Anolis sagrei: one gene and its partners. Each later gene encodes a partner of the first gene's protein in a complex. Links are inferred from orthologs where the notes say so. Each region holds a gene or a part of one and is shown in the gene's direction. Other genes may lie near its edges.

The links.
Region 2: the proteins of EIF4A1 (region 1) and KANK1 are in contact, whole or in part, in a crystal structure (PDB 7DDX), measured with the Mus musculus proteins. The link is inferred for Anolis sagrei from reciprocal best matches to the Homo sapiens genes EIF4A1 and KANK1. Residues at the interface, in NP_659207.1 of Mus musculus: Lys99, Val140, Arg141, Val144, Gln145, Lys146, Leu147, Gln148, Met149, Glu150, Ala151, Arg168, Arg169, Tyr170, Ser172; in NP_852069.4 of Mus musculus: Gly1168, Asn1169, Asn1171, His1175, Tyr1176, Val1178, Asn1201, Lys1202, Ala1203, Tyr1205, Met1209, Leu1210, Leu1213, Ala1214, Ala1215, Gln1240, Ala1241, Leu1248, Ser1251, His1252, Arg1254, Asp1273, Glu1274, His1285.
Region 3: the proteins of EIF4A1 (region 1) and PDCD4 are in contact, whole or in part, in a crystal structure (PDB 2ZU6), measured with the Homo sapiens proteins. The link is inferred for Anolis sagrei from reciprocal best matches to the Homo sapiens genes EIF4A1 and PDCD4. Residues at the interface, in NP_001407.1 of Homo sapiens: Gln75, Thr109, Arg110, Glu111, Ile135, Gly137, Val140, Thr158, Gly160, Arg161, Asp164, Glu186, Leu188, Ser189, Arg190, Gly191, Phe192, Gln195, Ala214, Thr215, Met216, Pro217, Glu240, Leu241, Thr242, Asn280, Thr281, Arg282, Arg283, Thr329; in NP_055271.2 of Homo sapiens: Pro170, Gln173, Glu174, Glu177, His178, Glu183, Glu186, Met187, Asp190, Leu209, Glu210, Lys212, Glu249, Leu250, Leu252, Asp253, Thr254, Pro255, Arg256, Gly320, Gln321, Gln322, Ser323, Val324, Leu327, Glu348, Lys352, Glu355, Val356, Pro357.

The regions. Positions count from the first base shown.
Region 1 is NC_090026.1:3,281,134-3,288,885, reverse strand, and holds the start of EIF4A1 (eukaryotic initiation factor 4A-I), read left to right. Parts: upstream 1-4,599; 5' UTR 4,600-4,651; coding exon 4,652-4,674; intron 4,675-7,752. UniProt on the Homo sapiens protein: ATP-dependent RNA helicase which is a subunit of the eIF4F complex involved in cap recognition and is required for mRNA binding to ribosome.
Region 2 is NC_090022.1:221,263,992-221,272,476, reverse strand, and holds the start of KANK1 (KN motif and ankyrin repeat domain-containing protein 1), read left to right. Parts: upstream 1-5,147; 5' UTR 5,148-5,539; intron 5,540-8,485.
Region 3 is NC_090023.1:209,438,566-209,446,490, reverse strand, and holds the start of PDCD4 (programmed cell death protein 4), read left to right. Parts: upstream 1-4,501; 5' UTR 4,502-4,609; intron 4,610-7,925. UniProt on the Homo sapiens protein: Inhibits translation initiation and cap-dependent translation. May excert its function by hindering the interaction between EIF4A1 and EIF4G. Inhibits the helicase activity of EIF4A. Modulates the activation of JUN kinase.

The DNA.
Region 1 (7,752 bases):
TGTGTAGTCTGACGTGGTGGTTGTGAGAGTGGTCCAGCATTTCTGTGTCCTCAAATAAAATGCTGGACCACTCCAACAACGTCAGACTACACAGAGAAGCCATTGAAATCCACAAGCATGTGGACAATTTCAACAAAAAGGAGGAAACCATGAAAATGAACAAAATTGGCTACTGGTATTAAAAAAACACTCAAAATTACAATACCAAAACAACAGAGAGGAAACAATCAGACACATCTAATCACCTCTCAACAAAAGATTCCCCCAGGCACTGCCAGGCCACCAAATGCTAATCAAGGTGGTCATTTGAAACATTCACACCTAGCTCCAGCAGACAACAGTCCTTTGTCCCACCCTGGTCATTCCACAGATACATAAACACATTTTTCCTCGTTCCAACAGACCTCACTACCTCTGAGGATGCTTGCCATAGATGCAGGTGAAACGTCAGGAGAGAATGCCTCTAGAACATGGCCATATAGCCCGAAAAAACCTACAACAACACAGAGAGGAAACAATCAGGGACATCTAATCACCTCTCAACAAAAGATTCCCCCAGGCACTGCCAGGCCATCAAATGCTAATCAAGGTGGTCAGTTGAAACATTTACACCTAGCTCCAGCAGACAAGAGTCCTTTGTCCCACCCTGGTCTTTCCACAGATATATAAACCCATTTTCCTAGTTTCAACAGACCTCACTACCTCTGAGGATGCTTGCCATAGATGCAGGCGAAATGTCAGGAGAGAATGCCTCTAGAACATGGCCATACAGCCCAAAAAAACCTACAACAACCCAATACCCTCCATCCTTTGATCATTGCAGGTCTTTGAAAAGGTGCTCTGTAAGCACCTAGAAAGGAAGGCCGTGTTCACTCAAAGTCAACATGGGTGTCTCAAAAAGTCATGCCAGAGAAACCTTATCTCTGTTTTTTGAACAGAGTTACACGCTTGGTAGATGCAGTGAAGGCTGTGGATGGGGCCTATCTCCATTTCAGGAAGGCCTTTGATAAGGTTCCCTGTGACATTCTCAGAAAGAAGCTTGCAAAACATGAGCTAGGCAGCACAACTGTGAGGTGGATTGGGAACTGGTTGACTGGCCAAAAAGTGGGTTGTTGGTGAGTTTTCCAGGCTGTATGGCCATGTTCCAGAAGCATTCTCTCCTGACGTTTCGCCCACATCTATGGCAGGCATCCTCAGAAGTTGTGAGGTCTATTGGAAACTAGGCAAGTGGAATATATATAGGTGGAATAATATCCAGGGTAGAGAAATAACTCTTGTCTGCTTGAGGCAAGTGTAAATAATAATAATAATAATAATAATAATAATAATAAGAAGAAGAAGAAGAAGAAGAAGAAGAAGAAGAAGAAGCAGAAGAGAGAAGCATCCCGAGCTCTGAAGATTACCTGGGAAGGAATCCCACTGGAGCATTGCAACGCACCCAAATACCTGGGAGTCACTCTGGACCGTGCTCTGACCTACAAGAAGCACTGCCTGAACATCAAGCAAAAAAGTGGGTGCTAGAAACAATATCATACGAAAGCTGACTGGCACAACCTGGGGATCACAACCAGACACAGTGAAGACATCTGCCCTTGCGCTGTGCTACTCTGCTGCTGAGTATGCATGCCCAGTGTGGAACACATCTCACCACGCTAAAACAGTGGATGTGGCTCTTAATGAGACATGCTGCATTATCACGGGGTGCCTGCGCCCCACACCACTGGAGAAATTACACTGCTTAGCTGGTATTGCACCACCTGACATCTGCTGGGAAGTTGCAGTCAATAGTGAAAGGACCAAGGCAGAGACATCCCCAGCCCATGCCCTGTTTGGGTATCAGCCAGCACGTCAACAACTTAAATCTAGAAATAGTTTTCTAAGATCTACAGAGACACTCGCTGGAACACCTCAGCAAGCGAGAGTCCAAAAGTGGCAGGCTCAAACCCAGAACCCCAACCAATGGCTGATACCCAATGAGAGACTCCCCGCTGGGCACACAGAGGACTGGGCGACTTGGAAGGCGCTGAACAGACTGCGCTCTGGCACCACGAGATGCAGAGCCAACTTTCAGAAATGGGGCTGCAAAGTGGAATCCTCGACATGCGAGTGTGAAGAAGAGCAAACCACTGACCACCTGTTGCAATGCACCCTGAGCCCTGCCACATGCATGATGGAGGACCTTCTTGCGGCAACACCAGAAGCACTCCAAGTGGACAGATACGGGTCAAAGGACATTTAACCAACTACTAAACTCACAAATTTTGTATTTTGTCTGTTTGTTTGCTTTGTTCTGTTAGAAATGTAATATAATTTGACTGGTTGTCCTGACACGACAAATCAATCAATCAATATAACACTTTATTTGTACCCCGTTACCATCTCCCTAAGGGACTCGGTGCGGCTTACATGAGGCCGAGCCCAAATACAACAATACAAGCAATAACAACTACAAGCAAATTAAAATAAAACATAGACAATAAAATATACAACATTATCAATAAGACAACACACAATTAAACAGTGGGAAGGCCAAATGTAAAATTAAAATTGGAAGTAATGTTGCAATGGACCAGATTGATTAGCATTGAATGGCCTTGCACTGTCAAAGCCTGCCTGGGGGAATCCTTTGTTGGGACGTGTTAGCTGGCCCTGATTGGGTTAGCTGGGCTTGCTATAGGTGTGGATGAAACGTCAGGAAGGAGAATGCTTCCTGACAGACCAGAAAACTCACAACAACCCTTTAAACACAAGCTTTCACTCCAGAAATTAAAATTGAAATCAGGGAGGATGCTGTTGCTGCCACTCTCCATCCCAGCACTCTATTTCTATAGAGGCCAACTACAAGCATATTATGCACTACCCCTTGAGTACTATAACTCCCAGGATTCCGACCATAAAAGCCTTCGACAACACATTGGCCAAAGAGTATTGACCAGTGGCTCTCTTTCGTCCTGGAGAAAAGTGACCAGTGGTATAGACCACATTGGGGTTGTCTCCTGCTGTTAGGAATTGTGGGAGTTGAAGTCCAAAACACCTGGAGGGAGAGCCGAAGTCGGCCCATGCCTGCATTAAAAGGCACATCTACACTGTAACACTAATACAGTTTGATACCTCTGGAGTCCTGGGGAGTGTAGTTTGGTGAGAGAAAGCTCAAGGCCTTGGGAAACTACAACTCCCAGAACCCCATAGCATAGAGCTATGGGCATTTGAAAGGCTATCATGCTGGATTGGAAAAGAATGGGAACCCTTTCCCATGCTGATGTTGGACTACAATTCCCAGAATCCCCCAGAAGATCCTGGGAATTGTAGTTCCTATTTGCAACAATTCCTATTTGGACTACAATTCCCAGAATCCCCCACTTCCTATTTGGACTACAATTCCCAGAATCCCCCAGAAGATCCTATTTGCAACAATTCCTATTTGGACTACAATTCTCAGAATCCCTCAGTTCCTATTTGGACTACAATTCCCAGAATCCCCCAGAAGATCCTGGGAATTGTAGTTCCTATTTGCAACCATTCCTATTTGGACTACAATTTCCAGAACCCCCCAGAAGATCCTGGGAATTGTAGTTCCTATTTGCAACAATTCCTATTCGGACTACAATTCCTATTTGGACTACAATTCCCAGAATCCCCCGTTCCTATTTGGACTACAATTCCCAGAATCACCCAGTTCCTATTTGGACTACAATTCCCAGAATCCCCCAGAAGATCCTGGGAATTGTAGTTCCTATTTGCAACAATTCCTATTTGGAGTACAATTCCCAGAATCCCCCAGAAGATCCTGGGAATTGTAGTTCCTATTTGCAACAATTCCTATTCGGACTACAATTCCTATTTGGACTACAATTCCCAGAATCCCCCGGAAAGATCCTGGGATTTGTAGTTCCTTTTTGCAACAATTTCTATTTGGAGTACATTCCCAGAATCCCCCAGTTCCTATTTGGACTACAATTCCCAGAATCCCCCAGAAGATCCTGGGAATTGCAGTTCCTATTTGCAACAATTCCTATTCGGACTACAATTCCTATTTGGACTACAATTCCCAGAAACCCCCAGTTCCCATTTGAACTACAATTCCCAGAATCCCCCAGTTCCCATTTGGACTACAATTCCCAGAATCCCCCGGAAGATCCTGGGAATTGTAGTTCCTATTTGCAACGACTGGAACCCTTCCTAATTTGGCCCCCCACAAAGAAGGGCCTCTCCACCACGTGGGCTTTTTCCTCTCCTGGCCTGCTTTGGGGCCTACTCCTTCCTCCTCGCCTCCCATTGGCTACCTCCTTTCCCGCCCCTTCCTGACAGGCGCGGCGGAGAGCCAATCAGCGTCGCCTTTCTCCTCCTTGACGTCACGTCTCCAGCTTTCTCAGTAAGCCCCGCCACTTTGACGTCACCCAGTTCCGGCGATTCAACCAATCAGCGCGAGTCTCCGTCAACGCCTGACGCGGGGTGTGTTTTTTTTTTAACAGGGCAGCCAATCAGAGAGAAGCCGGTCTAGCTGACGGGCAGTGCGATGGTCCAATAGGAGGAGGGGAAACAAGGGGCGGGACTTAGCCTGCGGGCCAATAAGGGAGGGGCCGGTGGGCGGGACTAGGCGGCTGTTATAAGGTGGAGTGAAGCGGGCGGGGCTAGGACCTTTCTGCCCAGAATGTCTGCGAGTCAAGAGAGCCGGTGAGTGAGCGCGAGGGAAGGCTCTTCCCTTCTCCCCCTCCCCCCCCCTCCGCGCTAGGCCGCGGCTGTTCCTTCTTCCTTCCATCCTCCCTCCGCGGTGGAACAAACCATTTCCGCAGTAGGTGGGATAATATTAGAAATCCCTCGTTATTCCTATTTTAACAATCCTGGGTGTTATTATTTTGCTTTTGTTTCATTTTCGTGACCTTTTTTTCATCCTTTGGCCTTAAGTTCCCTTTTCTTCCTGACCACGTGGCCGATTCCTTTCCCTCCCGCTTTCCCCCCCTAAAAACGGATTGGACTCTCCCTCGCCCTTTTAGTCCCTTATGGACCTCTGGGCGGAACCATTTCCTTTCCGGGGGTGGTGGTGAGAAAAAATAGAGGAGAGGTAGGCCTCGAGCGTTGGCGCGGCCTTCGCCTTGGCCTATCTCCTCGGCGCCATTTCGCGCATCGAGGGCGCTCTCAGTGGAGTTGCAATCCCACCTCGCCCCGCATTTCGCGCACCCACTTCACCCCCATTTTTGAAATAGTTTCGTCCCTTCCTTTTGCTTTCCTACATGGCGGACGAATCCATTTAATTTCGAGGGTGCCCTTAGTGGAGTTGCAATCCTCCCCATTTCTAAAATAGTTTCGTCCCTCCCGTTGATTTCCTACATGGCGGACGAATCCATTAAATTTCGAGGGTGCCCTTAGTGGAATTGCGACCCCCCTCCATTTCTAAAATAGTTTCGTCCCTCCCGTTGGCTTCCTACATGGCGGACGAGTCCATTTAATTTCCGAGGGGGGTTGTTTATTATTTTTAAATTGTATTTTCCACTTTTTTTCGTGGAATGTGCACGGCGTCGCTTCTCCTTTCCCCCACGCGAGGAGCCATTTTGCGTCTCGTTCTTACACAACTTTCTCGTTCTTACACAATGGTTCCTTTCCCCCCATTTCCAACTCTTAACCCCCCCTTCCCGGAACATTTGGTATTTCCCAGCGCCGTGTTTCTTTGGGGCGCTTGGGCGAGACGATTCCTTTATACCGGGGGATCCTCATTTCCAACTCTTAACCCCTCCCGGAATATTTGGAATGTACCAGCGCCTTGTTTCTTTGGGACGCTTGGGAGAGACCATTCCTTTATAGGGCGAGACCCTCGTTTCCAACTGTAATCCCCCCTCCTGGAGGATTTGGTATATCCCAGTGCCTTGTTACTTTGGGTCGCTTGGACGAGACCATTCCTTTATACGGGGAACACTCAGGCGAACCTATTCCCGATCCCCCAACTCTACCGACCCCTCCCGAAACACTTGGTATTTCCCAGCGCCTTGTTTCTTTGGGACGCTTGGGCGACACCATTCCTATATACGGGGGACCCCTCATTTCCAACTCTAATCGCCCCTCCCGGAACATTTGGTGAATCCCAGTGCCTTGTTTCTTTGGGACGCTTGGGCGAGACCATTCCTTTAAACGGGGGACGCTCAGGCGAACCTATTCCCGATCCCCCAACTCTACCCACCCCTCCCGAAACACTTGGTATTTCCCAGCGTCTTGTTTCTTAGGGACGCTTGGGCGAGACCATTCCTTTTTAGGAGGACGCTCAGTTCGACCCCTTCCGCCATTCTCCAATGAGAAAACCCATTTTCCACCTCTTCGTTGGAAATCATTTCTTTGGGTCGCTTGGGCGAGACCATTCCCTTAATGGGGAGGCACGCTAAGGCGAAACCATTCCCGAATTCCTTCTCTAATGGGGAAATCCAATTAGTTGGAAATTGTGAATCCTAGAATCTCCTTTTCCCATCTCTATTCTCGAATGGGAAATTCCATTAGTTGTGAATCCTAGAATCTCCTTATTTTCCCCTCCCCCCCCCCTTTTTTTGGGCGCGTCCATTTTTTCCTCTCTCCTTCCATTGCCCATTGTCCTGCCGCTCTGCATCCGGGAACTTTTCGGCTGCCCGTGACGTCACGCGGCCCCCGTGGCCGCAGGCGAGCAAAAAAGGGCGGGGCCTCGCTGGCCTTATAAGGAAATTCCGGAAGTGGGAGGCGCCGCAGAGGCCTCGAGCCCCGCGCGCTGGGAAAAGACCCGGATGTCAGGAAGGAAGGGCGCGAGGCCGGCGGAACTTCCGGTCTGGGAGGCCCAAAATGGTGTTTTCGGGTCAAAAATGGCGGCAGAGCTGTGTTGCCACCTTCGAGGGCCAACTATATCGATGGGAGAAACATAATTCAAGAGACTGAAGGCCCTGGGGGTGTTTTGGACTCCAATTTCCATCATTCCCAGCAGCCTCAGAACTTTTTCAGCCAAATTGGGCCCTGGGGGTGTTTTGGACTCCAACTCCCATCATTCCTAGCAGCCTCAGGCCTTTTCCTTTTCCCCTCAGCCGATATTCCACAGATATATCATAGAATCATAGACTCAAAGAATTGGAAGAGACCTCCTGGGCCATCCAGTCCAACCCCATTCAGCCAAGAAGCAGGAATATTGCATTCAAATCACCCCTGACAGATGGCCATCCGGCCTCTGTTTAAAAGCTTCCAAAGAAGGAGCCTCCACCACACTCCGGGGCAGAGAATTCCACTGCTGAACGGCTCTCACAGTCAGGAAGTTCTTCTTCATGTTCAGATGGAATTTATTAACATAAAAGCTCAAAAAATACAATATATCATAGAAATCATAAAACACTAACATATAAATACATTCAATAAGCTGTTAAAAACAGTACACATAGACCTGAAAACACTCCAGAAGCCGTTCCAAAACACTAACATATAAATACATTCATTAAGCTGTTAAAAACAGTACACATAGACCTGAAAACACTCCAGAAGCCGTTCCAATCGCAACGCCGTCACTTCGTAGCTGCCTATAGCCCTGTGCTACACTCCAAATGCCTGGTTCCATAACCAGTTTTTAACTTCCTTTCTAAAGGATAGGAGGGGAGGGCACAATACAATACGTATGTGCAGATTGTCCAGACAGGAAAATAGAAGATAAGGAATTGACAAGAATGTAGCCTTGATCTTAAAAGGAGAAAAAACAATGGCCTGATGGAAAAGCAATATAATTGCACCAAAGATAATAACATTGTATAGAAACAATGA
Region 2 (8,485 bases), on another chromosome or scaffold:
CCTTATTCAGGTAGAGATGAACCAAACCAATACCCAGTTTGTTTCAAGCAATTTAATTAAAACAGCACTTACTTTCTGGCTGCTTTAATAGTCCAAGATCTAAAACATGAAGATTGCACTCAGCCACAGAATATAAAACAAAAACAGTTGCAGGTTCAAGATAAGTCAAAAGGTCCAGTCCAATGGTCAAACGCTGAGAGTTCAATCAGCAAAGTCCAGGGATCAAGAGTCTATACCGTAGTCAAAAGCCAGTCCAAAGATTCAAGGTCCCCGGATTCCAAAGGTTCAGGAGACAGGTCATGACACCAAAAAATCCACAAACCCGGGGGAAAACCAGCAGCATCTAGCACCAAGATTAGACAAATACTTTTCTCCTGAAGATCAGTCCCAAAGCTAGCTCCTTATATCCAGAAACACCCAGCTGCAAACCATCTCTTGCATACCCCCACCCTTAATTGCTTTCACCCATGAACTCTTACGTCCAGGTTACTCAACCCTTTAGAACTAAGACTTACATTAAGCCTTCCATCGCCAACTGCTAGGCCTACCACCACCAACCACCATCAACTGCAGAACATGATACATGACATTGTTTTTTCTCTGGAGTTTCCCTGTGCTTGAGTTTTGTTTTTTATTTACTGTTATAATTTTAGTTTTTTAATACTTTGTCTTTCCTCTTCTCTGCTATCCACTGTCTCCTCCCTTTTTGATGACGTAGGAGTGGAATTCTGCGAGGGAACTTCCTCTTAAGTATAAACTCCCCTGGGTTGACTATGTGGTCTCCACCATTTTCAGACTTCTGCCCTTCTTTCTACCTATAAGGATAATAGTAAATCCATGCAGCTACATTTTGCCTGGATAAAGGCAAAATGTAGCTGCATGGATTTACTATTTACCTTTTACCTCCTTTAGAAGATGAGACTTGTAAGCTAGTGAACTCCAAGACCTTTTCTATCAAGAATGTATTACTTTTACTTCAATAAATATGTTTGAACCTAAAGTTCTGACTCTGCAATCCTAAGCCATCCTGGAGAATAGAAGCCTATCCCAGCTTGCCTCATGTAAGTTTCTGCTGGTTATGAAGTTTACTTCTGGTACGCTGCTATATTTATCGTGGAATCACCCCAACTGAGGGTTATTTTTGAGCCTATCACCTCAGATTCCCCAATATCAAGAAAGCGCATGATGTCTACACTAGATTATGAATTAGGATGAATTTTTCAGAAACTGAACTCTGCACTCTTTGCTGGTTATTGTATAGTATCTGCCCACGTTCACCATATAAGTTATTTCCAAGCCAAGAGATCAAGATCTGCAAAAGTTATGAAGTACAGAGATCAGGCAAGATAATTTTTACTCAGTAAGAAGAGTTAGGCCGATGAGCTGAACCTGTGTTGTTGCTTTAGAAAGAACAGCCTGGGGACACATCATTTGTTTAGATACATCATTATACAGAGGCTACTGTATAATGCAGACATCTGTTGCACCCCCTGAGAACAGGAACATGGTGTTGATGTTGTCACAGTAACGCAGCAGCTTTTCACCAAGGTCACTGCCCGTCAGAGACTCTGGCGAGAGGACATCTGAAAGAGGCAGCGCTTGCTCAGTGGAAAAACAAGCTCCTGTTCCTACACAAATAATAAGAAGGACAAGTTTATTTTTTCTGCTATAGTGAAAAGTAAGAGGGGATGGAACAGCTACTTAAACTCTTTTATGCCATATCCCATAGCCAAATTAATTCAATTTGTAAAAAAAAGGTTAGCTGAGAATGGAAACAAACTTTTCAAAGTCAAGCACTTTCCGGGGGAGGGAGGCAAGAGCTCTGCTTGCTGGGTTATATATGTCTGTTGAAAAAAACTTCAGTTCACTGAAGTTACTGCACAATATGTAAATGTGTGACCCCTCAAGAGATTTTGGATTGCGAGTTCTATCAACACTAGACGAAGTAGTCAGTGAGGCTGGATCTACACTGGCATTGAATCTGGAGTATCAAAACAGATGGGGTGAGCTCCCATCCGTCAACTCCAGTTTCCCATGCAGGGACATGAGAGAAGCCTCCCATAGGACGGTAACACATCCGGGCATCTCTGCAGATGGCCAATTCTCTCACACCAAAAGGGACTTGCAGTTTTTTACATCGCTTCTGATACAATAAAAAAAATCAAAGCAGATAATCCAGATTATCTCATTTGACATGGCTTATGTGTCTAGACTGCCATATAATCCAGTTCTGAATAGATAATGGAATTGGGGTATGGAAAAAATTCATTATACTGGTTTGAAAAATAATAATTTTTAACTATTAATCGTTTTAATTTATGAATCCCATTTTAATTGCATATTGTCTAATTGCATATTTTAGATATGTTTAATTTACTGTCCGATTCGATTATTCTTTGATATTGCTGTTTAGTATGTTCTCACCTGTTTACAACTGTTTATTGTTTTTCTGCACTTCACAGCATTTAATGTTGTAAACCACCCTGAGGCCCTTCCACACAGTCAAATAAAATCCCACATTATCTGCTTTGAACCAGGATATATGGCAGTGTGGACTCAGATAACCCAGTTCAAAGCAGATATTGCTGGTTATTCTGCCTTGATATTCAGGGTTATATGGTTTTGTGATAGTGCTCAGAGTCCCTCCGCGCAGAGAGGGTGGGATAGAAAGAATTTTTATTAATATTTATTATTTTATATAGCAGTGTAGATAGGACCTGAAAGGGGATAGTAATCGCAGTCCAGCAATTTCTACAGTGCAACATATTCCCAAATCCAACATTAGGTGAGTATAAGATTCACTGCAATGCAGACAGATTTATTAGCTTTATGAAGTTATATACTTGGCTGTCCATATCCATGGATTCTATATCCAGATATTAAAATACTCCAGTCTATTTGCGTGACTGTGTTTCCCCCTATGAACCCATTCAGACCTTAAGGTCCTCCAGGGAGGCCCTTCTCATGGTCTCTCCATCCTCACAAGCACGACTGTTGGAAATGCAGGAAAGGGCCTTCTCGGTAGTGGCTCCTCAGCTCTGCAATGCCCTTCCCAAAGAAATCAGACAGGCCCCCTTTCTAGCTTCAGGAAAAAAAAATGAAAACATGGACGTGGAAGCAGGCATTTGGAAATGACTATAACTTATCATGATGGTGGGTTTTTTTTATAGCTGTACAAACTGGCTTGAACTGGTTTTGCCCTGGTGCGCAATATGTTTTTAAATCCAGCAAAAAATTTAATCTGCATATTTTACTATGCTATTGTTATTTTTGGTTTGCTATGTTTTAAAAATGTTGTCATTATATATTATGTTTGGATTCTTTCTTCAGTCTTATATTTATTTATTTATTTGTAAGCTGCCCCGAGCCCTTTTGGAGAGGGGCAGGATATAAATAAAGTTGTTTATTATTATTGTTGTTGTTGTTGTTGTTGTTGTTGTTGTTGTTGTGTCAGGAGTGACTTGAGAAACTGCAGGTCGCTTCTGGTGTGAGAGAATTGGCCGTCTACAAGGACATTGCCCAGGGGGTGCCTGGATGTTTTGATATTTTACCATCCTTGTGGGAGGCTTCTCACATGTCCCTGCATGGGGAGCTGGAGCTCAACCTGCTCTCCCTGGATTCGAACTGCTGATCTATCGGTCAGCAGTCCTGCTGGCACAAGGGTTTAATCCATTGCACCACCAGGGGCTCCAGTTTATTATTATTATTATTATCATCATCATCATCATCATCATCATCATCATATTATCTGTCCAAAATGTATCTACAGTAGAGTCTTGCTCATCCAACCTTCGCTCATCCAATGTTCTGTATTATCCAACACAGTCTGCCTCCAGCCCAGATCCACAGCTTTTTCAATACATTGCAATGTTTTGGTGCTAAATTTGTAAATACAGTAATTACTACACAATGTTATCATGTATTGAACTGCTTTTTCTGTTGATTTGTTGTAGAAGATGATGTTTTGGTGCTTAATTTGTAAAATCATAATGTAATTTGAAGTTTAATAGGTTTTTCCTTAATCCAGTGGTTCTCAACCTGTGGGTCCCCAGGTGTTTTGGCCTACAACTCCTAGAAATCCCAGCCAGTTTACCAGTTGTTATGATTTCTGGGAGTCGAAGGCCAAAATATCTGGGGACCCATAGGTTGAAAACCAGTCTTAATCCCCCTTTATTATCCAACATTTTTGCTTATCCAACGTTCTGCCAGACCATTTATGTTGGATAAGCGAGACTCTACTGTATATACTGTATATAGAGGGAGCCCCTGGTGGTGCAGTGGATTAAACCGCTGAGCTGCTGAACTTGTTGACCGAAAGGTAGCAGGTTCGAATCTGGGGAGTGAGGCGAGCTCATGCTGTCAGCCCCAGCTTCTGCCAACCTAGCAGTTCAAAAACATGCAAATGTGAGTAGATCAATAGGTACCAGTCCTGTGGGAAGGTAACAGCACTCCATGCATTCATGCCGACCACGTGACCTTGGAGGTGTCTATGGACAATGCCGGTTCTTCAACTTAAAATTGGAGATTAGCACCAACCTGAGTCGGACACGGCTAGACTTAATGTCAAGGGAAAAACTTTACCTTTACTTCTGTATATATATATATATATTCACAGATTTTAGTTTTCAAGCTGCCTTACAGGTAATTCCCACCTGTTGAGATGATCAGGTATTTCATATATATATATAGATTGTCCCATAGGAAAGGTGCTGTTTGGATGGAGCCAGGGCCAGCCTTCTTTCTCTGGAGTTTGGGTTCTGCACACAACTTTCCATTTGGGACTGGAAGCTAGCCAAGAGGCAGCTTTCCTTCTCTGCTTCCTGGTCATTTCTTGGTGCCAAGCAGGGTTTCTTCCTCCTCTCCCCTGTGCCCTTCCACAGGTCAGTGTTTCAACTCAAAACTTCAGCTATCCCTCCCGCCAGGTGTTTTGGACTTCAACTCCCACGGCCTCAGGCCCTTTCCACTTAAGCGGCTGAGGGGTAAAAGGAAGGGGCCTGAGGCCGTGGGAGTTGAAGTCCAAAACACCTGGCGGGAGGGAGGGCCAAAGTTTGCCCATGCGTGTTTGAACCCTTAACCCTCCCTCCCAAACCCAGGGGTGGGTCACGTGACGAGAGGCTCGCGGTCGGGGGCGGGAGAGGGAGCGGGCTGCTGGGCAAAGCATTGTTGGTTTGGGGCAGCAGCGCGCAGACGCAGTGCGGCGGAGGGTGTGTGTGTGTGTGTGTGTGTGTGCCTGTGTGCCTGTCTATCTATGTGCGCGAGGGAGAAAGAGACACACACACACGGAGAGAGGGCTGCTACAAAGAAACACGCGAGGAGTTTGCAAGAGGAACTCGGACTCAGCCCTAGTTGGAGGCGGCGGCGACTTCTCCCGATTGGAAGCGCTTTCGGTGGGCTTGTGGCCCTCAGGCTCAGCCCACTTCTCTCCGGGGGAGAGAGGAGAGGGCGCCCCGTGTCCTTCCTTCCACGGGCGCCGGACTTGCAAGGGAGTCCCTCCACAGCCCGCCCCTTTCCCCCTCTCCGCAGGTTGCAGAGGAGCGAGGTGAGTCCGGCGCTCATTCTCCAATTGAGGGGGGGCTTCTTTGGGGGCTGTTTGGAGGAAGAGAGGGAAGGAAGGAAAGGTAGGTGGCCGGCCTGAGAAGGATGAGGAAGGCTTGATCTCAGTCCGAGGCCAGGCATGGGCAAACTTCGGCCCTCCTTCCAGGTGTTTTGGACTTCAACTCCCACTTTTCCTAACAGCCGGCAGGCCAAGCATGGGCAAACTTTGGCCCTCTCTCCAGGTGTTTTGGACTTCAAATCCCACTTTTCCTAACAGCCGGCAGGCCAGGCATGGGCAAACTTTGGCCCTCTCTCCAGATGCTTTGGACTTCAACTCCCACCATTCCTAACATCCCGTAGGCCAGGCATGGGCAAACTTTGGGCCTCCCTCCAAGTGTTTTGGATTATAGCTCCCACCATTCCTAACACTCTGAGGCCAGGCATGGGCCAACTTCAGCCCTCCCTCCAGGTGTTTTGGATTTCAACTCCCACCTTTCCTAACAGCTGGAAGGCTGGGCATGGGCAAACTTTGGTCCTCCCTTCAGGTGTTTTGAACTTCAACTCCCACCATTCCCAACAACCGGCAGGATAGGCATGGGCCAACTTAGGCCCTCTCTCCAGGTATTTTGGACTTCAACTCCTACTATTTATAACAGTCAGCAGGCCAGGTATGGGCAAACTTCAGCCCTCCCTCCAGGTGTTTTGGACTAACCTCCATAAGTCCTAACACTAGGCAGGCCAGGCATGGGCAGACTTCAGCCCTCCCTCCAGGTGTTTTGGACTTCAACTCCTACCTTTCCTAACAGCTGGCAGGCCAGGCATGGGCAAACTTGGGTCCTCCCTCCAGGTGTTTTGGACTTCAGGAATGGTGGGAGTTGAAGTCCAAAACACCTGGAGGGAGGGCCAAATTTGCCCATGCCTGGCCTAGGCTTACTTTTAGGTCTGCTTTAGCCATGGAGTCTCCCAGAGCCAATTGAACCCCATCTTTTCCAAATGCTTACCTTGACCTCCTGCCCTTTTGTCAGTCCTGGGGTTTTCCACTGCTGGATAGAGAAAGGCTAGGATGTTGTGGTGTCAGCACGTGTGCCCCCCCCCCCCTTCTGTGTTTTCTCTTTCAGCCTGGGAGTTCCCCTTCACTTGACATTGCAATGGCCCTGAGGGCGCATCTAGCATCACTGCAGCTTGACTCCATTTTAGCTGCCAGGGATCCGTGCTGTGCCACCATGGGAGCTTGTAGGCCGACAAGGTCTTGAGTAGGCATGGGCAAATTTCAACTCGCACCATTCCTAACAGCCTCAGGCCCCTTACTCCCCCCCCCCCCCGCCTCAGTCGCTTAAGCGAAAGGAAAGCACCCTGAGGCTGTTAGGAATTGTGCGAGTTGGGAGTCCAAAACACCTTGAGGGCCAGTTTGCCCAGGCCTGGTCTTGAGCCTTCTCTGCCACACAGTGCTTCCCCCCCCCCCACCCCGGTCAGGAGCAACTTGAGAAACTGCTAGTCGCTTCTGGTGTGAGAGAATTGGCCATCTGCAAGGATATTTCCCAGGGGGTGCCCAAATGTTTTGATGTTTTATCAACCTTGTGGGAGGTTTCTCTCATGTCCCCACATGGAGAGCTGGAACTGACAGAGGGAGCTCATCTGTGCTCTCCCTGGAGCGAGTCAGCAGTCCTATTGGCACAAGGGTTTAACCCATTGTTTCTCAACCTGTGGGTCTCCAGATGTTTTGGCCTTCAACTCCCAGAAATCCCAATCAGTTTACCAGCTGTTAGGATTTCTGGGAGTTGAAGGCCAAAACATCTGGGGACCCACAGGTTTAGATCCACTGGTTTACCCCATTGTGCCACTGAGGGCTCACAGTGCTGGTTCCTCCCCAAACTACACATCCCAGGATTCCTTAGCACTGAGCCCTGGCTGTGCAAGTGGGGTCAAACTGCATCCATTCTAAAGTGTAGATCCACCCTGACTTCATTTTTATCCCACCTTTCTCCCAATATACCTACTCTCAATATACTCCCAATAAACCTAAGGCCTTTCCACACAACCCTATACACATTGGACTATATGGCAGCGTGGACTCAAATAACCAAGTTCAAAGCAGATATTGTGGGATTTTCTGCCTTGATATTCTGGGATATAAGGCTGTGTGAAAGGGCCCCTGAAGTGATTTACAGGTTCAAGAAACAAGGAATCACAGGATGCACCTGCACTTTAGAATAAAGGCAATTTGACCTCACATTCACAACCGTGGCTCAATATTGTGGAATAGTGGAATAGTGGGAAGTGTCATTTGGTCAGGCACTGCCAATCTTTCGCAAAGAAGGTTAAAAAGCTGATAAAACTACAAATCCTAGGGCTCCATAGCATGGAGCCACAACTGCTAAAGTGGTGTCAAACTTTAAATTCTACACTGGGTGCATGGACATTGTGGAATGAATGTTGTGTGACCCCACTTGGAAGTGCCATGGCTCAGTGTTGTAGTTTGACAAGGTATTTAGCCTTCTCTGCCTAAGAGTACTGGCCCCTTACCAGATTGCAACTCCTGTCATTCCATAGCACTGAGCCATGGTTGTTCAAGTGTGATCAAACTGCATTAATTCTAAAACCTAGATGCATTATATGCTGTGGCTTTCCTTTGCAGGCTTCTCTGTCCTCCACCACCTCTCTTCTCAAAGTCCCTTTTTCCATTTCATTCGTTTCCTTCCTTCCATTATTTCTTTCTTTCTTTCTCCCTCAGTTCTTTGAAACAGTAGGGATGAGGGAGGCTTTTGTTCTGGAAACTTCAAAGGTATTTGAAAGGGAGGGCACACTTCTAGAGGTGCCTGTCAGCACATCATTGTGTCGGCTTTCTTTTATTCCCTTCCCCTTGCTGAAGGAGGAAAAGAAACTTTCTTTCCCTCTCTTCTGGCCGCTCTGCTCTGCACGTGAGTCAGCTAATGAAGCTGCATTTTATGCA
Region 3 (7,925 bases), on another chromosome or scaffold:
TCCCAAAGTCTAGATACATGTTCTTTGCAACTGTCCCCCATTCTGTCTTTTTTCATCTATATCAGTGTTTCTCAACCTGGAAATTGGGACCCGGGGGGGGGGGGGGGGTCGCAAGGGGGTGTCAGGGGGGGGGGTCGTTAAAGACCACCAGAAAACACAGTATTTTCTGTTGGTCATGGGGATTCTGTGTGGGTGTTCGTTTGTGGGGTTCAGAATGCTCTTTTTTTGTAGGTGAACTACAACTCCCAAATGTCAAGGTCTATTTTCCCCAAACTCCACCAGTGGTCACATTTGGGCATATTGAATATCCGTGCCAAGTTTGGTCCAGATCCCTCATTGTTTGAGTCCACAGTGCTCTCTGGATGTAGGTGAACTACAACTCCCAAACTTCCAATGCACACCAAACCTTTCCAGTATTTTCTGTTGGTTATGGGAGTTATGTGATTCAATTTCATCGTTGGTGGAGTTCAGAATGCTCTTTGATTGTAGGTGAACTACAGGCATGCAGCTGGGGGGTTGGGGGGCTTCAGCCCCCCCCCCCCCCCGAAATTCTGATGGTGGTCCGTGAGAAGGCCTTACTGGTACATTATTTAAACTGTTATGTTTATTCATATCATGATCTGATCACCATGATCAATATATCCCATATGCATGGGGGTATTGGGGTAACAATACAAAAGGTTTGCTAGGGTAGACCCTCTTTCACTCAGACTCAGCCCCCCCCCCCCCCCCGAAACAAAATCCTGGCTACGGGCCTGGTGAACTATAAATCCCATCAGCTACAAAATCAATCCAAACCCCACCAATATTTAAATTTAGGTGTATTGGGTATTTGTATCAAATTTGGACCAGTGAATGAAAATACATCCTGCATGTCAAATATTTACATTGGGATTCATAACAGTAGCAAAATTATGATGCAGCAATGAAAATAATTTTATGGTCGGGGGTCACCACAACATGAGAAACTGTATTAAGGGGTCACGGCATTAGGAAGGTTGAGATCTATATGTTACGTGTGAGCTTTTTATGGTTCTTTTTTATCTTTTACGATCTCACTCATTCAGCAATGCATTTGATGGCAAGACTGGTTTCTGGGTAAATACGGTTAAGATCCGGTTAGGCTGCAATTGAGGCTTATTGTTTACCGGACCGTGAAATCCCACACGGGACATTTCTTTCCCAATAATTGCTGGGTTGAGGTCGTGCGGAGGGACACTCAGTACTTTTCCATGTTGGAGAATATCGGGATGTTCAAAGACTGAGGGTGTGTTTGCTTCTCCGTGTTTAAAAAAGATGGCTTCAAGGATTGGGGGAGGGGGAAACAAATTTTTGAAAAGCCACTCATTCTTGGCATATGAATCACAAGCTGAAAAACGTCGGTCATAAGTTTTCTGACATTAACATGAATTAGGATGACAGATGAAGAGGCCAGTGTGGAGTGCAATAGAGTTGGTCCTCTCAACATCTGCGGGTTTCAATTTTGCAAATTTGACTATTTGTGGGTTTAATTAATAAATCTGGGGGGTCTAGAGCAGGTATGGGCAAACTTTGGCCCTCCAGGTGTTTTGGACTTCAACTCCCACAATTCCTAACAGCTTACCGGCTGTTAGGAATTATGGAAGTCCAAAACACCTGGAGGGCCAAAGTTTGCCCATACATTGCCTAGAGATTCCTAGAGACAATACTTCCCTTTAAGTCAGTGGTTTTCACCCTTCCTAATGCAGCAACCCCTTAATATAGTTCCTCATGTTGTGGTGACTCCCAACCATCAAATCATTTTCGTTGCTACTTCATAACTGTAATTTTGCTCCTGTTGTGAATCATAATGTAAATATCTGATATGCAGGATGTATTTTCACTCACTTGACCAAATCTGGTTCAAATACCTAATATGCCCAAATTTGAATATTGGTAGGGTTGGGGGGGGGGGGGTATTGATTTTGTCATTTGGGAGTTGTAGTTGCTGGGATTTATAGTTTACCTACATCCAGAGAGCATTCCGAACTCCACCAAGGATGGAATTGAACCAAACTTGGCACACAGAACTCCCATGGCCAACAGAAAATATTGAAAGAGTTTGGTGGGCACTGACCTTGAGTTTGGGAGTTGTAGTTCACCTACATGCAGAGAGCACTGTGGACTCAAACAATGATGGATCTGGACCAAACTTGGCACGGATACTCAATATGCCCAAATGTGAACAATGGTGGAGTTTGGGGGAAATAGATCTTGCCATATGGGAGTTGTAGTTTCTGGGATTTATAGTTCACCTACAATCAAAGAGCATTCTGAACTCCACCAACGATGGAATTGAACCAAACTTGGAACAAAACTCCCATGACCAACTGAAAATACTGGAAGGGTTTGGTGGGCACTCACCTTGAATTTGGGAGTTGTACTTACTTACTTACTTAGGCGATCCCTCGTTGGACGAGTAAGATGGTCTTCCATTATGCGTTTCCTTGTGGGTTCGTAGGTGGCTGTGGAGCCCTATTCTTGACCTGCATCTTCTCCCACAGTGAGGGCATTGGTTTCCAGGTGGAAGGCGGTCCCAGTTGGGGTTGGTTTGACGCGCCTTCCTCCTGGCACGTTTCTCTCTTTCGCCCTCCACTCGTGCCTCCTTGAATTCTGTAGCACTGCTGGTCACAGCTGACCTCCAGCTGGAGCACTGAAGGGCCAGGGCTTCCCAGTTCTCAGTGTCTATGCCAGAGATTTTAAGGTTGGCTTTGAGCCCATCTTTAAATCTCTTTTCCTGTCCACCAACATTCCGTTTTCCGTTCTTAAGTTCAGAGTAGAGCAACTGCTTTGGGAGGCGGTGATCAGGCATCCGAACAACGTGGCCGGTCCAGCGGAGTTGATGGCAGAGAACCATAGCTTCAATGTAGTTCACCTACATCCAGAGAGCACTGTGGACTCAAACAAAGATAGATCTGGACTAAACTTGGCACAAATACTCAATATGCCCAAATGTGAACACTGGTGGAGTTTGGAGAAAATAGACCTTGACATTTAGGAGTTGTAGTTGCTGGGATTTATAGTTCACCTACAACCAAAGAGCATTCTGAACCCCACCAACAATAGAATTGAACCAAACTTCCTACACAGAACTCCCATGACAAACAGAAAATACAGTTTTCTGACAACTCCTCTGACACCCCCCCCCCCCACTCTGCTTTAAGTGTCTGCAGGTCCTCCAGAATTCACTGGAGGATCAAAGTGCATCTACAGTGTAGAATGAATGGAGTGTAAAGCCACTTTCATCTACCATGGCTCCATGCTTTGGAATCCTGGGATTTGTAGTTTGGCGAGACTCTAGTACTTTGGCTTTAAAAAAACTTGAAAACTACAACTCCCAGCATCCCATAGTATTGAGCCTTTGCAGTTAAAAGTGATATCAACCCTCATTAATTCTAGTGTAGATGCACCCTAAGTAAGTACACCTCCCTAAACTGCAAATCCCATTATTACATTGGAATTATGACTCTATACATTACATTGGACCCCTACAGTCATGATAATTATAGAGTTCCAAAACCCTTCTTATTGTAGAATGAGTGCAACTTGGCTGCAGACTATTGGGAGTTGTAGTTTCACAGGGTCTTGAGCCTTCACTGTCAAAGAGCAGTGAAGGCTCAAGATTGGTGGATTAGTGGTCCACCAATCTACAGCTCCCAGGGTTACATAGCATTGAGCCTTGGCAGTTAAGTGAGGTCAACCCGCACTAATTCCACAGTGTAGATGCACTCAAAGCAAGTACACCTCCCTTAACATTTCATCGAAATAATGACCCTATAAATTACATAGGACCCCTAAAGTCAGGATTGTTATAGAATCCCAAGTTTCTTCTTAATGCAGCTTGGCTGAAGAATCTTGGGAGTTGTAGTTTCACAAGCTCTTGAGCCTTCCCTGTCAAAGAGGACTGGTGATCCACCAATCTACAGCTCTCAGCATTGAGTCTTGGCAGTTAAGTGAGGTCAACCCGCATTAATTCTACAGTGCAGATGCACTCTAAGCAAGTACACCTCCATAACAACAAATCCCATCATTTCATTGGAATTATGACCCTATAAAGTACACAGGATCCCTAAAGTCATGATAATTATAGAGTATCAAGTCCTTTCTGAAACAATCTTGGGAGTTGTAGTTTCACATGATCTTGAGCCTTCCCTGCCAATGAGGACTGGTGATCCACCAATCCACAGCTCTCAGGGTTCCATAGCCTTGAGCCTTGGCACTTAAAGCGCTGTCAAAGCGCATTGATCCTACATTGTAGCTGCGCCCATTGAAAGTGGCCTTACTTCCGGGAGCTAAATCCACCTGCGCCAGCAAAAATGGCGTCCTGAGGCCACGCCGCCGCTTGGGAAGGCGACACGCCCACGCCTCGTGCGGCGGGAAGGGGGCGTGCCGATGCTAATTAAAAGGGCGGCCTCCTCCAATGGCGTCCCGCCTTGAGCTTTGGGAGGCGGGGCTAGCCCTGGGTGAAACGTGGGCGAAAGCGGAGGTCTGTTTGAAAACAAGCGGAGGAGGCGGTGACCGTGGTGGAGGGACCCGCCGGGGAAGGAGGCAGCGGCCCTTCGGAGTCTCTGCAGCCAGGGGGGAAAAAAAGGTGAATTTCCAAACATTTTTGAAGTGTTGACCCCTTGAGGAAACCTAAAAGGAGCAGCCTAGGAGTGCAAAAAAAACAAAACCCCAAAACAAACCAGGGGAGATCTACACTGTAGAGTTGATGCAGTTTGATACCGCTTTAACTGCCATGGCTCAGTGCTATGGAATCCTGGCTTGCTTGGTGGGATACCAACTGATTCTTTGGCATCTAAAGACCTTTGCAAAACTGCTAGATTCCCAGGATTACATCACATTGAGCCCTGGCAGCTAAAGTGGTATCAAACTGCATTAATCCTACAGTGTAGATGCACCCTTGAGCAAGTGCTGAAAAGACCCGATGTTTTGGACTCTGTTTGTGGTACGAGGGACATGTAACTGATCGTTGGCTCTCTTGGTGTTTTGGATTGTTTATATTGCTATTATTTGGATTGTTTATATTGTTATTATTTGGGTTGTTTATATTATAATTCAAGATTTAAGGAAGCCAAGCCAGACCTCTTGAGATCTGATCCTAGAGATGCCAAGGATTGCCATGGGGTGCACCTGCACTGCAGAATTAATGCAGTTTGACATCCCTTTGTTCAGTGCTGTGGAATCTTGGGATTTGTACTTTGGCATTCTTTGTGAAACTACAACTCCCAGGATTCCATAGCATTGAGTCTTGGCAGTAAAAGACTTGTGTGCAGCCCATGTTTTGGATTGTATTTATTTCGGTGTCTCTGGTGCGAGAGATATGTCACTGATTGTTGCCTTCCTTGGTATTTCAGATTGTTTATATTATTATTGTTGTTATTATTCAAGAATTAAAGAAGCTAAGCCAGATCTCGTAAGATCCGATCCTATAGATGCATAGGATTGCCATGGGGTGCATCTGCACTGCAGAATTAATGCACTTTTGACATCACTTTAACTTCCATTGCTCAATGCTGTGGAATCTTGGGATTTGTAGTTTGGCATTCTTTACTGTGAAACTACAACTCCCAGGATTCCATAGCATTGAGCTTTGGCAGTTAAAGTGGTGGCAAACTGCATTAATTCTGCCATGTAGGTGCATCCTATGATGCAAATGGGAATCACGTTTTTGCTTGTAGTGCAAGTCCTGTGCACCTTTCCTCCTAAGTTAGCTCTGTGCCTATCTTTACAAAATGTACACAGCATTGCAGCCTTGAATGTCAGTTTTATAGGGAATGTGCTGCTTTCAATTCAATAGGACCTTCATAGGAAGCAAATTTTCTTTGAACCTAGCAGTTCAAAAACATGCAAATGTGAGTAGATCAGTAGATACTGCTCTGGCAGGAAGGTAACAGCGCTCTGAGCAGTCATGCCGGCCACATGACCTTGGAGATATCTACGGACAACGCTGGCTCTTCGGCTTAAAAATGGAGATGAGCACCACCCCCCAGAGTCGGACACGACTGGACTTAATGTCAGGGGAAAACCTTTACATTTATCTTGTAATTTCAAGTTACTCAATGGTGGTTTTAAATTGTATTGTGCTGTTGTTTATTTGTTTATGCTGTTTTATGAATTTTAATGCTTCATATTTTAACCCCACGTAAGCCGGGGAGATGGAGGCGGGATACAAAAATACAGTTATTATTATGGGTTTTTGTGAGTTTTTTGAGCTGCATGGTCATGTTCCAGAAGCATTCTCTCCTGAGGTTTCGCCTGCATCTATGGCAGGCATCCTCAGAGGTTGTGAGGTCCTCACCATAGATGCAGGCAAAACATCAGGAGAGAATACTTCTGGAACATGGTCATACAGCCCGAAAAACTTACGACAACCCAGTAGTTCCGGCCATGAAAACCTTCAAAAATATATTATTATTATTTGAAACATAACAAGATGAGTCCACAGTTGTATTGAATCACACGTCAGACACTTCCCAAGTGTCTATAATAATAATAATAATAATAATAATAATAATAATAGTAATTATTATTATTAGTATTATTTGAAACACCACAAGATGAGTCCACAGCAAACACTCTGCTGGCTGTTGTATTGGATCACACATTGGACACTTCCCAAGTGTCTAGGACTGTGTGATGTATAAGCAAATAATGCGTGCAGATCCCAGTTATTATTATTATTATTATTATTATTATTATTATTATTATATGTTTTTGCAAGGTGGTTTGCAGGGCAAACTCATCCAGCTCCTTGGTGGGACATGTATCCAAGGTGCATAGGAATGCAACTTGACTTCATATAAAAAGAAATTGGTTTTATTACTTTATGAAAAGAAGGTAGATGGGTGTGTGTATGTGAGAGAGATAATAGATGTGGAGTGCTGCTTTTCTTTAGTGGTGCCTCTACGTTGCAAATTTAATGAAGTTTAATGTGTTGTCGAAGGCCTTCATAGCTGGAATCACTGGGTTGCGTGAGTTTTCCAGCTAATCACTAATCAACAAAGGATTCCCCCAGGCAGGTAGCAGCCAAGCCTTGAAGCTGCAAAGCTTTTCAGTGCTACTCAAGGTGGCCAATTGCAGCATTCACACTTGCCTCAAACAGACAAGAGTTCTTTCTCCCACCCTGGATGTTCCACAGATATATAAACCCCACTTTCCTTGTTTCCAACAAACTACACAACCTTTGAGAATGCCTGCCATAGATGTGGGAGAAACAACAGGAGATAATGCTTCTGGAACATGGCCATACAGCCCGGAAAACTAACAGCAACTACAAGAGCTTGCCTTCCCTAATTCTTCTAATATTTGATAGCTTTAGTGTACTCAGGAATTGAAGTTTTGTCTCTTTTGTAGGAAGTCTATACTCTTTTGACACAACTTAAACTCCCAAGGCTCAGTGCTATGGAATCCTGGGATTTGTAGTTTGGTACTCTTTGGCAGAGAAGGTTAAAGACCGCAGAGAACTACAACTCCCACAATTCAATAGCATGGTACGTGCATCCACACTGTAGAATGAATTGCAGTTTGACACTACTTTAACTCATATGGCTCAGTGCTGTGGAATCCTGGGAGTTGTAGCTTTATCACAGTCATGGGAAAATTTTGGCCCTCCGGGAGTTTTGGACTTCAACTCCCACAATTCCGCTGTTAGGAATTGTGGAAGTTGGAATCCAAAACATCCAGAGGGCCAAAGTTTGCCCATGCCTGCTTTATCGGGTCGTTTTCCAAGTTCTTTTAGCCTTCTCAGCCAAATACGAGTGGTGCCTCAACAAACTACAAATCCCAGAATTCCATAGCATTAAGCCATGGGTGTCAAAGTCTTATCAAACTGTATTAATTCTATACCATGTCTCTCTCAGATTAGAAGTTTGTACATAGTTTCGTAAGATGTGATAGGCACATTT